2 linked regions of the Nothobranchius furzeri genome follow. The protein of the gene in region 1 purifies or fractionates together with the protein of each later gene. This does not show direct contact. Links are inferred from orthologs where the notes say so. Each region holds a gene or a part of one and is shown on either strand. Other genes may lie near its edges.

The links.
Region 2: the proteins of ankyrin repeat and SAM domain-containing protein 6 (region 1) and nek7 purify together in Homo sapiens (affinity purification with mass spectrometry; 3 studies listed by BioGRID and IntAct, with this or other methods). This does not show direct contact. The link is inferred for Nothobranchius furzeri from reciprocal best matches to the Homo sapiens genes ANKS6 and NEK7.

What each region holds. Positions count from the first base shown.
Region 1 is NC_091747.1:36,736,536-36,740,049, reverse strand, and holds part of ankyrin repeat and SAM domain-containing protein 6, read left to right. Parts: intron 1-1,334; coding exon 1,335-1,379; intron 1,380-1,457; coding exon 1,458-1,662; intron 1,663-1,762; coding exon 1,763-1,869; intron 1,870-3,514.
Region 2 is NC_091748.1:66,087,413-66,091,404, forward strand, and holds the start of nek7 (serine/threonine-protein kinase Nek7), read right to left. Parts: upstream 2,805-3,992; 5' UTR 2,582-2,804; intron 1-2,581. UniProt on the Homo sapiens protein: Protein kinase which plays an important role in mitotic cell cycle progression. Required for microtubule nucleation activity of the centrosome, robust mitotic spindle formation and cytokinesis.

The sequences.
Region 1 (3,514 bases):
GTATATATGTGCAGTAGTATATAGTAGTATATATGTGCAGTAGTATATAGTAGTTTATTTGTGCAGTAGTATATAGTAGTACATATGTGCAGGAGTATATAGCAGTTTATTTGTGCAGTAGTATATAGTAGTACATATGTGCAGTAGTATATAGTAGTATATATGTGCAGCAGTATATAGTAGTATACATGTGCAGTAGTATATAGTAGTTTATATGTGCAGCAGTATATAGTAGTATACATGTGCAGTAGTATATAGTAGTATATATGTGTAATAGTATATAGTAGTATATATGTGCAGTAGTATATAGTAGTATATATGTGCAGTAGTATATAGTAGTTTATTTGTGCAGTAGTATATAGTAGTATATATGTGCAGTAGTATATAGTAGTATAAATGTGCAGCAGTATATAGTAGTATATATGTGTAATAGTATATAGTAGTATATATTTGCAGTAGTATATAGTAGTTTATTTGTGCAGTAGTATATAGTAGTATATATGTGCAGCAGTATATAGTAGTATACATGTGCAGTAGTATATAGTAGTATATATGTGTAATAGTATATAGTAGTATATATGTGCAGTAGTATATAGTAGTTTATTTGTGCAGTAGTATATAGTAGTATATATGTGGAGTAGTATATAGTAGTATATATGTGCAGGGGGGAAGAAATCAGCTCAACAGAAAAACCGAAGGAAGCAACCAAAAGCAAAAAGAAGGCTGAAGCACTCCAAGTGACTAAATGTTTAATAGGTGCAAGCACAAAAATGCTGAGAAGATACAAGCAGGTGTTGAGACGTTAGTCCTTTTTTGTGCTTGCACCTATTAAACATTTAGTCACTTTGAGTGCTCCAGCCTTCATTTTGCTTTTTTCATGCCATTGTTCTTTGCTGTGGAGCACCAACTGGTGACTGGATTATGAGCAATGGATCTCAGAAGTGATTCCTTCTGTCTGATGTTTGTTTGTTTGTTTAACCCTGTTCTTCTTAGTTTACCAGACAGCAATGCTCCTTTAACAGCTTTAATTGCTGATTGCAGTAATATAAAAGTCAGCGACTGGAGCTCAGCATCAGCTGTTTAGATTCACATTAAATCTTTAAATTTCTTGTTTGATCTGGAAGTTACCTCGAAGATAATAACTTGTGTGAAAAACAAATGGAAAACTCCCAGTTTGACCCAAATACAGAAAATTTGGGTTGACGGATGCATTTTTATTGTTCTAAGTGTTGAAATCAGCAGTACTGAGTATTTTTGTACACAACCCCCCACTGCCTGATGTGTGGAGTCAGGCTAAGCATCATCTCCTCCGATTCTTTCTCATTTTTATACAGATAATGAGAGGAAAAGACCAGATGTGTTCAGCGCTCTCAAACTGGGTGAGTTCTCATGAACTGGTGGAAACTATAAGAAAATAACCAGTGAGAAAGACAGCAGCATGTTCTGTAATTACTCAGGAAATTCACAGCTGGTCAAAGACATCCTGGAGGAGGATCCTGCTCAGGTGAATTCATCCAATCAGGAAGGAGCGTCTCCTCTCATGATGGCGGCGGTGAGCGGTCAAATAGAGGTGGTGCAGCTGATGGTGGAGAAGAATGCAGACATAGATAAACAAGATGGTGTTCATGGGTGGACCGCATTAATGCAAGCCACTTATCATGGGTAGGTGGAGGCTTTGTTTGCTGTTTATAGAAGCAACCTTAGGATGTAAAGACATCTGACGCTTTAATGCTTACTGTTGTCTTCCTCCTGCCTTCCCCAGCAATAAAGAAATTGTCAAGTACCTGTTGAGTCAAGGCGCTGATGTCAGCCTGCGAGCTAAGAATGGATACACAGCCTTTGATCTGGTCATGCTGCTCAATGACCCGGGTAGGTTTTCTTATTAAAGCTTTACTGATAAAACTGTGTGGGAACAAATATTATTTCTGTTTTTCACTTCAGTTCAAACTATTTGGAATTTTGTATTTTCATCACATTTAGCTTATTTAAGTACCATTTTATTTGTACAGCAGAGCACTTTCAGGCACAACAGGTGGGTTGTGCAAAATGCTGAACAGTAGCGAAAGCAGGATGACACATCAAACAATTAAAAGTTCCTTATAAAAACCACAAGGAGCCTAACACACACACACACACACACACACACACACACACACACACACACACGCGCACACAATCTTCATCTTCATTCCTTTTATGAGAATTCATGTGTTGCAAACAACGCAACATAATTCAATTCAAATTCAAAAATATTTTATTAATCCCAGAGGGAAATTTGTTGATAAAAATTACTAGAATATTTTATACTTTTTAAAATAAGTTTTGTATGTTAAATGTTCTTTAAAATGCATTCTATTCTTTTTTTAAGTATTTGTTCTGCTGTAATTTATATGGTATGTTGGAACTTTCTTACCCTCACCTATGGTCATGAGCTTTGGGTAGTGACCGAAAGAACGAGATCGCGGATACAAGCGGCCGAAATGGTTTTTCTCTGCAGAGTGGCTGGGCTCTCCCTTAGAGATAGGGTGAGAAGCTTGGTCATCCGGGAGGGGCTCGGAGTAGATTCACTGCTCCTCCACATAGAGAGGAGCCAGTTAAGGTGGCTCGGGCATCTGGTCAGGATGCCTCCTGGACGCCTCCCTGGTGAGGTTTTCTGGGCACGTCCAACTGGGAGGAGGCTTAAAGGTAGACCCAGGACACGTTGGAGGGACTATGTCTCTCACCTGGCCAGGGAACACCTTGGGATTCCCCTGGAGGAGCTGGCCAAGTGCCTGGGAAGAGGGAAGTCTGGGCCTCTCTGCTTAGGCTGCAGTCCCCGTGACCCGACTCTGGATAAGCGGAAGAGGATGGATGGATGGATGGATGGATGTTAGAATGTTGGAAAACAGTCATTTTGACATAAGTAAAGATTATATTCTGATGAACACTCAACGGCCACTTTATTGGGTATACATGTCGAATTGCTCGTTAACGCAAATTACTAATCAGCCAATCACATGGTGGCAACACGATGCATTTAGGCATGTTGATATGGTCAAGACGATCCGCTGCAGTTCAAACCAAGCTTCAGAATGGGGAACAAAAGAGATTTAAGTGACTTTGAACATTGCACGGTTGCTGGTGCCAGACAGGCTGGTCTGAGTTTTTCAGATACTGCTGATCTGGGACGGGTTTGAGCTGGTAGAAAGACAACAGTACCTCAAATAACCACTCGTTACATCCAAGGTATGCAGAAGAGCATCTCTGAAGGCACAACACGTGGAACCTTGAGGCAGATGGGCTAGATCAACAGAAGACCACTCCGGGGGCCACTCCTGTCAACTAAGAACAGGAAACTGAGGCTACGATTCTCACAGGCTCACCAAGATTAGACAATAGAAGATTGGAAACATGTCTCCTGGTCTGATGAGTCTCAATTCTGCTGCGACATCCTGATGGTAGGGTCAGAATTTGGCGTCAACAACATGAAAGCATGGATCCATCCTGCCTTGTATCAATGGTCCAGGCTGGTGGT
Region 2 (3,992 bases), on another chromosome or scaffold:
GAGCTCCAATCTGCACTTTTAAAAGATACATTTTCCTTTGTAACTTGATGCTATTGTCGGTTTTGCTTCTGTTAAAATAGTTAAATACCCAATTTTTTAATCTTTCCAGACCAACTATAACTGATCCTCCCTCATCTATTTACACCTGTTTTTATCCAAACAACAGAACAAAAGTAAATAATTTAACTGAGCCAGAGCCTGTCATGAATAATCCTCCTCCCATTAACAGGAAATCAAAGGGAGACCTACTGGCAGAAATCCGTCACCACAGAGACTGATGCAAACTTTTGTTCATGTGGCCGTCATGTCTTTGATTTTCAACTTATTAGAGCCAGCCAGTGTTCATCTCAATCACCTGATGATGCTGGCAGACTCCAGCATCATCTGATGATGATCGGATGTGGCAACAGAGAGGCGAGTAATAATTGGGTCAACAAGGTTTGTCAACTCCCACTAACTTTTATGTGGATCATCCTTCTGTTATGTGTAGGTACGACGTGTAATTCAGCTGTGATGGGCAATGACAGCAACATTTTACTGGATTCAGCTTTCAACAAACAAGTAACCTCAAGACTGATTGCTATGTGATATTTGTAAACACACACAAGTTAATATTTCAATTAATAAAAGTACTAACTCTTAATTGAGCTATCATGAGGTTAGAGTTAATTGGCTCAGTCTGGTGGCAGAATCCATTCAGCACTCTTTCATTAGGCAAAAACAAGAGATGATAAATGAAAAGTGACCTGCGCTTGTAAAGCGCCTTTCAGATTCAAGGGACTTCAAAGCGTTTTTACACTACAGTATATCACTCATCCATTCACACAATGATGGTGATGAGCTACGATGTAGCTACAGCTGCCCTGGGGCACAATGACAGAGGCAAGGCTTCACAGCACAGGCGACACCGGTCCCTTCGAACACCACCAACAGGCAAAGTGGGTTAAGTGTCTTGCCCAAGGACACAACAGAGCCGGAATTGAACCTACAACCTTCCGATTACTGGACAACCTGCTCAACCTCCTGATGCCCAATATGATACGCTGCATTAGTTGTGTCAGAAACGACTATGACGTTGTCACTGATTAATTGTTCCATTAAAACTGTGAACAAAAACAAAATTCAGATACATCGAGAGCAGGACTCTAGGTTAGCTGCAGCAGAACAATAGGTTTTCCACCTTAAAAAGGACAATGTTTTTACTAGAGATCGACGGAAATTGTTTTTTCTATTGCTGATACCGATATGTAGGAGACATGGTCAGCCGATATGTACTGCCGATTTTCATGGCCTACATTCAGACATTTTCGACTGTATTTTCATGATAAATTGTCATTAATAACATCAGGTGATAAACAAAATTTCTGAAGCTGAATCAGTTTTTGAACTTTGCATTTAACCAACTGTTAAATCTTAACTTTGTACACTGCTCAGTGTTAAAGTCAGACACCTAAAGTTAATTTAGAGTATTTATTATATAGATGTTATTAGTGAACTCAAAATTTAAATCAAATTCTGCAACAGAATTGGGCTGCCTGAGAATGCACCTGACTTTAAATCAGCTTTAACAAATATTGGCTGATGCCGATATGTAAAAAACTGTTATCGGACCGATTCATCGGCCCAACTGATATATCTGTCTACCCTTAGTTTTTACTTCAAGACATTCACTTAGTTGATAATATAAAATTACTGATGGATTCATTTGATAATGACATAATAATGGAAGAACAAAAATTATCCACTTGTCTGATTAACACATTAAAAAAAATGTTCAACTTAAAATGTGTAATTTAAAAACAAAGACATTGATGTGGTATAGAATAGAAAATAGAATAGACTTTATTGGTCCCACAGTGGGGAAATGTACTTGTTCCAGCAGCACCAACACTTAGGAGGATAATTTGAAGAAAATAAATAAATAACAAACGCATATGTATATACACATAGACAGTAAGCCAGTATTGTAAGTTTCAACCACTAAAAACCACGAATAAAAAAACTTGTTCTAGAACTATGCAGCATACTTTAAGGGACACAGACATGCTATGTAATGTTTGAAAGTTTGATGATATTCTGAGTAATAGTTTGAATTTAACAGATTATCCTAATAAGGAGTAAAATAGATATGAAAGCAGAAATCTACATACCGATGTGGTTTTAAATTATTAGGTGTGACGTCCGTGAAGCATGACAGTAAGTAATCGCTGTAAAACTTCCCATCACGTGTTAGCTACACGAATCTTGTGTTCCGAAAGTCAGGTTAAGTAAATGTTCTCCAGAACACTCATAAATGTGTTTATTAACGCTGACTGTCAAAGTTGTTTGTGCCACTTATGGTAGTTCAAGTTAGCAAAGCCACATGCTAGCTGAGAACAGGGAAAGCTAGTTAGCAAGACTTCGTACAAGTTAGTTTGAGTACCAACTCAAGTTGAGCTAAAACTAGTCACAATTACTGGTTTTATGTGGCTGTTAGTTCTCCAACAAGTTAAACACAAACTATTTATAGGAAGATGGAAGAGATAAGTTAGCTACAGTTTTGTTTAAGTCCGCTGTCAGTTAGTGCTGTCTCGGTACTTACCAGGAAGTGGGAATCTGTTGCAAAGCTATTCCTCTTTCACCTTTAAAACAACTCCTCCGATGGTCAAGGCGGTGTTGTTGTTGTCTTTTATTTTCTTTCCAAGGTCGCGACAAAAAGTGGACTGAACAGGCCTCCTTACTGCGTGGCGCTTTGCCTGTACACTACGAAGTTTTTTCTCGGAGAGCGCCTGTGCTGTGGAGTCAGTAGAGAAGTGTTTTCAGACAGACTCCAGCAGAAGGCCCCCCTCTCAGCACACTGCTGATCCAATAATGTAAACACCACAGCACTCCCGCGGGAACTCCTCAAGTACCGCGAGTTTTATCGAGATGAGCCAGTTCATCGAATGCCGACTGCAGATGCTTGTACTGTTTTTGAGACAGCGCCTTCTAAAGGACAAACGTGAAACTGCAACTGCAGATTCAAGACTAACTGCAGATTCAAGGCTGCAGACTTGGACACCGCAGATTCAAGCTTCTACAGTTTAACAGTTCTACATGAAAATGTGAAGTGAAATGTGAATAGTTTATTCGTTGTTAAAGCTTCAGTGAAGTAGCTCTCAGAATACAAATTTGATTACTCCTGAGTAACTTTTAATAAAAGCTTTTATCATATTTATTTAATTGAAGTTGTTTGAAGAAACAAAAACAAATTAAAAAAAACCTTTGTCCAACATTCCTGGTTCTGGACATCCTTAGATCAACCACCTCGTAACACCTTGATGGACCAAAACACATATGGCTCATGAATTCAATGCAGAATGCTGTGGAACTTTGCAATGATGAATTTAATACATTTTATTAAAGTAAAACTTTACGACATATCTCGGTCAACGAAGGACCCGGTGTCTAGTACCAACAGCTCTCTATTGACCAGAATCCTTCAATTGATGGAGCCCATAAATTTGGATACAGTGTTGCTGGGCTGGCTAATTGCAACGAGGCTGAAGTTAGCTTCCAATTCCAGCTTCCGATTTGGCAAACGGCTAAGGGGCCATTACACCCAATTTTTCTCTACTCTGACCATCTTTAATCTGCTCTAGCTCAAAAACTGCAACACCCACACTGTTCAAACCTGTTCTAGATTATTCTACTGTAGCGGAATATAGTTGGTATATTCTTACACTTTTATTAAGGTCCAGAGATTAATCTTACCTTAGAATCAGAAGAGGTTGTTTTTACCACAGGGAATTTTATTCAAACACTTTGCATTGACTTAGAGACAAGAAAAGAGAAATACAGTAATCCCTCGCTACTTCGCGGTTCGTTTATTGCGGATTCACCACTTCGCGGATTTTTTCTTTGGATCCTTATTCAAGGGAAATTCGCCGATTCGCGGTATTTTCACCGATTCGCGGTATTTTTCTGTCATGTTTTGGGGTAAATGTCTAACCCAAGACATACAGAATCAGACT